Linked DNA regions of Caenorhabditis elegans. The protein of the gene in region 2 interacts with the protein of the main gene of each other region in a pairwise test. Each region holds a gene or a part of one and is shown on either strand. Other genes may lie near its edges.

Region 1 (3,756 bases), on a different chromosome or scaffold from region 2:
ATTCCAGATGCACCCACAGAAGATGTGGATGATGATGAAGAAGATGAGGATGAAGACGAAGAGCTTGATTCAGGAGCTGTAGCTCTCGGTGCATCTGTGGATGACGGTGATGTTGATGTGGTCATCTGGAGTGAAAACGAGTGAAAGTGATTGATAAGAATTGATTGAAAAGAGATGAAAAGATGAGGGGAGGGAGGGGAAACGAGGTGATATAATAAATGAGGACGAGAGGCGCGTCGGGGCGGTTGAACATTTGTTAAAAATGTGACGTCTCCCTCTTTCTCCTCTTTTCTTCCATTGCAAAAGAGACAGAATACCGGGCGCCATCCTTCCCCGATCCCGCCCATTTCTCCTATTGGACGAAGGGTGGAGTCTCAGAAAGCGGAAGGGATGAGGGAATAGAATAAGAGGACGATAGAGATGAATGCAGTAGTTAAAAAAAGAGATCAAATTTTTTTCATTGAAGTAGATCATTCAGATATTCCTAAAGTCTACATATCTTCAAAAACCGAATAACTAGTAGAATAGGTATTTAAATTTGAACAATTGTAGTGAGAGCAAGAAAACTAACAATTTGTGCTGCTAGTCTAGAATTCAGAGATACGTGTACAATCGCAATCAATGACCGGATCAATATCTCCCAAGAGCCCAAATTTTCAACACAAAAGTTAAATACGATGATTCAGTTCTTAAAATTTTGAAGAACTTTCAGCAACCATCAATTTCTTTTACAGGTGATCAGAGCTTTAAAATTTATTAAAATTCCTGGGCACATATAATTGAAACCAATAAATTTCAGAACACGAATTAGCAATAATTACCGTTTGATAGATTTTAAATTTTAATTTAAGAACCTTGTTTTTTTTAATTACTGCATTCATCAAAAGGAATTAGATCAACCTATCAACTACTTGTACCTAATCCTTAGGAAATCATTAAAACTAGGAAAACAACAAAAGCTTAAGAACGGAAACAGAACAAAAAGAGAAGAAAAGTAAAGAGTTGGAAATGGAGAGAGAAAAGATGATGGTGATAAATTGAGGAGCAATCTGCGAGAGACGAATTGTTTTTGTGGGTGTGCTCAAGTGGGTGGTCATGGTTTAAGACCCGCGGGTTTTACCTTATAAGATTGGATAATTGCTCTAAATAGCTTTATATAAACTAGTAAGCAATCTATGAGGTCAAGAAGAAGTATGGACTAGAAGTCTTTATGTGTTTTCTCTGTAGGCCTAAGCTCTGAAATGTTACCTAACACTATTCCACACATTCTCCATGTCTTGAATATTTATGTGACTACTGATTACAAAATGAAATTTCAGAAATATTGAGGCTGTGGGCAATCCTCGAAATTTGACGAACTCAGCAATTTCGGTAGATTTGTCGCACACACCTGACAATGAAGCTTTTAAGTTGGATAATTTAAAGTTGTGATAATAGCTTTTTTAAAGTAAGATTACATTTTGTTTTCTTCTATGATTCACAAATTAAACGAGGGTGAGATTCAATTTATTTAAATGATCGGCAGAATAACGGGAACACGGTAAAAAGGCGCCTTCGCAACGCCTCATAAAGTGCAACATCTAATCTGGGCTCATTTCTTCCAGATATGTTTTCAATTTTTCAATGGTATATTCTCCAATAATGCAACATAAAATGTTTTTTCGGAACGCAGGTAATTTGAATAAATTCCTACAACAAAAAAAAAACAGCAGAAGCCAAAGCCGAGTATCTAAAAATGTTTCAAATACTGAAATTTAGTCGATAACTTTGCGAAAATATAAGAGGGTTCCGAAATAAACTAGATTTTAAACGTTTTCTGCCACAAAGGTGGAAAATTGATATTTGAAGTACATAACTTGCAAAATTTAAAGACTACGTTTTAAATAGTAGAGAATTTTCCTATAACTTTTTCAGGTGACCTCTAGGTTCAACTTATTTAAAGTTAAGTTCCAGTTTCATTTAGAACTTTGAGAAGCTTTGTGCCAGGAGTGGATTTAAAAAAAGAGAGATTTACCTTAATTCTAGAAGGTCGTAAAAAAATGTTGCCAAAATTCTATTGTTGGTATTGCCATCGGAATTTCCTCTATCGCCCTCCCACTTCATGTCTTCTAATCCGGGCGGCACGCACAAGAAGACGCAGACGTACTGATACACGTGAAGGGTGGAGCATGCTTCTTCTCCAATCTCCCCCACTGTCGGCATAGATCAAAGAGGTTCGTGGAGCCGAGAGCACATCTCTTGCTCTCGCCTTTTCAATTCATCACTGACAGCGCTGGATGGACATGGGGTGAGAACGACAGGTACCGTAAGCTTTTGGGCTCCAAGAGTAGAAGAGTTGAGCAGAATGAATTTTCGCTTTTAAGTTGCCGCTTTTAGGAACAAAATCTTGACCAACTTTTTCCCATTGGACAAGTTGTCAAGAGTCAGTCGAAATGTGCTCAATTTTATGAACTCTCTGATTTTATAGATATGGAATTGTTACATGAAAATTGGAAAAATGGCAAAAAGGGAGAGTATCTCGGCTTTGGGCTAAAACTTGAGCAGAAATTGAGCAAGGTTTCGACAACATAGTCTAAGACAAGTATTGTCAAAGCTCTTACCAACTTTTGCCAACATCTGATAGTCCGCTTTTTGAGCCAAATGCCTGGTATGCACAAAAAGTTCAAATGACCAAAAGACGAATTTCTGTGAAATTTTAAAACGGCGTTATGGGAATTTTGAAAAACGTTGAAGTTTTTCTAGGTCATTGATCAGATTTTCTAAAAATTTAAGCTTCTAGCTATTTCTAGCTAAATTAAATGTTATCAATACTTGGTCGACACCAAACACTATTTTTTGGAATTGTCAAGATACCTAAATATAAAAGTCTACAACTGAAGCATACGCTTAATATGTTTTCAAGATTTTGCAAGGCATCTGAAATTGCTTCGAGATTTCCAGCAGTGCCTCACCTTGTTCTTAAAAGTAAAAGTTCCCGAAACTTGAGGTTTCAGAAATGCCAACTGCAACTGAATTGATTCCAACGCCTCTTACAAAATGAAAGAATAAAGTTCTAGAAGTTCCCTACTGTAAACATGCAAACAGAGATATTTAAACTATTTATAAAACTTAAAATGTGTTACTTTTGTTAACTTTGAAAGTCTTTTTTAATTTTTTGATTAAAATAAAATTTTCAAATTAACAGTACATAGAGAATTACAAATTCTCAGAGCCACAACACATGATAATGTACTATAAAAGGAAATAACCCAAACACATCACATTTTTTATTTCATTATCAGTTTTCTCAATCTATAAATGATCCAATATCCTCACACCTCTCACAGTATAGATAAGGAGATAAGAATTGCATAACACTGTGGTAATAAATAAAAAAAAAAAGTGAGTAAATGATTAGTAAGTGATTATGCAATTGACTCAAGTCTATTTCCTGTCTCTTTTACAGTGATTTATGAGTGTCAGGAAGCATCAAGAAGTGTGGAATGAATGGCATCCAATTACTCATTTGTAGGTACACGAATCAAGAAAAAATAGGTTGAAGAAGTGTAGGGATCTTCTCTCTTTTACAAATTGATGTTCGACAATTCCTCATTTTGATTTTTTTTGGTCTTCCAATCTAGTGCAAACAGAAACGAGATAGAATGAGTTACAGTAGGAAGTTCATTAATCAAATGACGAGAAAAAGAGGGAAAAGTAATGAATACATTGAAGCATAAGACAAAAAAGAAATGAAAGGAAAGGAAATTGAACCACCGG
Region 2 (3,756 bases):
GAAAGGAGGCACTAAATGCCGAGCAAATACAAATCAATAATATCGCTTAAAATATGAGTTTATGCAGTGGTGATAATACTTTTTTAAACAAGCGTATATTTCCAAATATTCGTAACGATATAAATAAGAACAATCCCGAAAAAAAGAGAAATCGGTGAAAAATGTGATAGAGAAATATGGAGGGATGTGTGATAGAAACATGACTCGTATAGTAGAAACAGATAAGGAAAATAAAATTAGCAAAGAAAATATGAATTCACCAGGAAGCTGAGAGTTGAGACGAGATTCGTATGTGAGTAGATACCTAAGATTTGGGGTTTTTTTGGGGTTTGTGTGCGTGATTGGCTAAGTAGAACAGAAAATATATTGGTTCGAGTATATGAACCTGAGATATTCAAGTAAAGAAGTGATAAATTGTTTTAATTATAAATTTTGAGATTATGGATTCAAGATCTTAAGAATTACATCTCAACGTCAACCATCTCATCTTGTTGAGAAGGTGTAAGTATCGTAGTTGGGATGATTTGTGGAAAAGATGTTGGAATAGTTGGACTATTCAACAAGGAAGATTGTAGGAGAGATGCCAAGTATAATGACATTAATGGATTTGGCTGAAGGCTCAGCAGAGCTGATTGAATGTCTGGAAGGAAAGATGGAGTGACTGGAAGTGTTGGTGACAACAGAAGAGGTGATGATCCAAGTTGAGGAGTTGGTAGGGATGATGTAATAATCGATGCTTCTTCTTCAGGATCTGTCTGAATTCCGCTGTCTGATGAGGATTCGCTTCTGCACGGGGATAATGGAGATGCTGAAAAAAGGAATTTAAATCATGAAATTAAACTATTTAAAATTATGGTTTACCTTTCTCATAAGTTGGCATAACGTTGTAAATCATATCAACATGGGAGCATGGACCATTGGAATGAGCAAGTGCTCCTTGGACATCTTCAAATTTAGCGCCACATCGACAAACACATGGGGAGGTGTTGTGAAGATGGCTTACATGACTGTTCAATACAGATACTCTTTCATCTTCAAATGAGCACAATTGGCAACGATAGAACACTGTTCTCTTTTCAGAAATTATGCATCGATCAGAGTCTGAAGAACACGAAGAATCCATTGAACTGTTGGTGGCATCGAAGACTTTCGAACGGCTGTATTTGGAGACAACACGGATTCCATGAGTTTCTGAAATTATTGAGGTTGGAGAATACATTTTCAGGTATAGCAGAAGCTAATTGATTACATTTCAAAAATTGTTCTAAGCTGCCAAACTTCAAATCTGACAGAATTACAAAAGGTTTAAAGCGAATTCAAATACCTAAAGTAATAGAAAAGTAATATGAACTCACTTGCAACATGTCGAATAAGGTCAGCCTTCCACTTGCTGGTTCTGGAGCAATAACGACACTTGAATGGTCTTTCACTGGTATGAACTCTCTTATGACGAATCATCTCAGACACCCATTTTCCTTGGTAACCACAGGTAGAGCAGGTGCGTGTAGATACATCAGGATCCAATTCCATTTTTTTCATTTCAATCTCATCATCTGGTCCTTCAATTGCTTCTTGTTCACTTAGATATCTCTTTTCAAATGGTTGATCGTCGGCTTTGCGAGCAACAAGAGCATCAAGAGTGTTTGATGGATTGGCTACTTCACCACGTCGTCTTTTACGACGATGTTCTTTTTCAGGTGAGGAAAGAGTTGAGAGTAGAGTGGATACGTCAAGGGCAGTGAGCAACGATTCACAATTCATCTTAAATTTACGAAATTTAAAGAATGCAATTAAAAAGTGGAAATGTTATAGTAAGTTTAGAAATGTTATTTTTTCAGTTGTTAAGTTTGCAGATTCTAATATTGAACCGAGATCAAAAATAAGAAAGAGTAGACCACGAATGAGAAAAAGTAATGAAAAGAAGGTGTGGGAAAATTTGGAGAAAGAAAAAGTATCAATGTACTTGGAACTGGAGGAACATTCTGATATCTATTTTGTCTAGAAAGACGAGAGAATTGGAGATAAGAAGTGGAAAAAGTGAAAGTTGCTCCAAGATAAGGGAAGGGTCACCAGGAAGCAAGCGCCGATTCGGGAAGGAATGGATATGGCAAAATGCGGATGGGGCGCGCGGTACCTTTTCGCTCCTACCACAGTATGTTGACACAAGTTTTGTTGGGGGAAAAAGAGGAGGAGGCCGAAGGGTGGGAGGTCGTCGCATCAGCGAACTGTTCACTTCCGGGGCTGACTGACTTTCACAGCAACAGCAGTAGGAGGAAGAGGATACGTTTACTTTTTACAAAATATCAGCAACACACAACTCTTTCTTGCGCTCGGCCACAAGGTTTTGGTTGGACAAACAGTTCGGTCAGTGAACTCGTTTTGAGCCAAAGCGTACGTGAAGTTGGAGCATGACGTGGCCATATTGAGATCGGATGACCGTTGATGGGAGGAGAAAGAGTTTTGGGAAAGTTATTTGGTATTGGCTCACCTGCTCCCAGTTAGGCATAGTGCTGCAGAGGTACAGGCGCAAAGGCTACTGTAGGTGGATATAGGGGACGGCTAGAAAAATAGAAAAGGGACCGTGGAGATTTTCAAACCCAACTAGAGTATTCCGAGATATCTAGTGCTTACTGTAAGTGAATGCAAAAAAGAAGAGTATGATGTGTATTATGAAGGTTAATTATTGAGAGCGATCATCTTTCGAAAAAAAGTGCACTTTCCGAGCATGAAATTGCCAACTCGGATTTCTAGAGAATTTTTGAAATCCAGGGCAACAAGAACCATTCCAGAAAAGAACGTATTTGAAAAGACTGCAATAGTAATTCTAGACGTCTTGTGGGCTTTTACCAGGCACAGGTAAGTTAGCCCTAAAATGAATATGAACTTACAAAAGTAGCTAGGTGCTTTTTTCTTTTCAAATAAGTGTAAAAACTACGGTAGGCAGTTACTCAAAATATGACGTAGAGTTTAACATAAACCTTACAAATATCAACTCGGGTTTCTAGAGTACTTCAAGTATTTTTGAAATCTAGGGTAACTAGAACCAAAACATATTTGAACATAATTTCAAAGATGACCTTCTTCAACGTCTTCAATGCCTTCTTGTTCCTAATCGTCATCGTCTTCTTCTCTTTTTCAATTCAGGCACATGTTTGCTCAAGCACAGTTTGCGTAACCACCACCATCGCCGCGGCGTCTCCTGCAGCCATTCGGTTTTTTCTCGCGCCCTCAACTTCTTCGAGGAAATCCAAATAGGAACAACCTGGTACAGAATGGTCGGAAAGGACCTCAAGGCGGCCCCGCACAGTTCAAACACATGACAAGCAGTTTTTAGGAGTAAAATGGAGGAAGTAAAGGTAATAGAAGAAGCATCGGTTATAGTAACCTAGATAAAGTAAAAGTGCATTTGTGCTCATTCGCTAGTTTCTGCCAAAAAGAGCAGCACTGTCAGCTCCTCGGTTCCAGGAGGTACCAGTTGAAGCTCTTATCACTTACACTTTTGCGCCGAAAACGTGTGGGCTGGAGGAATCACTTGCTGCTGAGTGTGCAAGTTTCACGAATGGCAACAAAAGGGCAATTGATGCAAATACTTTTTTTTTCCAGATTTTCAGACAAATTGCCTCTCGTTCAAAAATTGAACAATTAAGGGAGATGGTAGTCGTTTTTTCATCAATTTTTTCATTTATTTCAGAGAGACTCTAAAGTTTGAGAATTGGCTCCGTTTCGTCTGCACTAGAATGTGAAGAACGCCTCAAA

The links. Proteins that work in one complex are often made in the same cells at the same time.
Region 1: the proteins of ztf-2 (region 2) and lin-39 interact in a two-hybrid assay, tested with the Caenorhabditis elegans proteins (one large-scale study listed by BioGRID).

Annotation. Positions count from the first base shown.
Region 1 is NC_003281.10:7,534,576-7,538,331, forward strand, and holds the start of lin-39 (Homeobox protein lin-39), read right to left. Parts: upstream 2,058-3,756; 5' UTR 2,015-2,057; intron 126-2,014; coding exon 1-125. UniProt on the Caenorhabditis elegans protein: Transcription factor.
Region 2 is NC_003279.8:7,289,277-7,293,032, reverse strand, and holds ztf-2 (Zinc finger protein ztf-2), read right to left. Parts: upstream 1,762-3,756; coding exon 1,356-1,761; intron 1,192-1,355; coding exon 862-1,191; intron 809-861; coding exon 462-808; 3' UTR 81-461; downstream 1-80. UniProt on the Caenorhabditis elegans protein: Transcription factor. Represses gene expression, probably via binding to DNA consensus sequence 5'-[AT][CT]TTCC[AC][AG]-3' in promoter regions. May play a role in pharynx morphogenesis.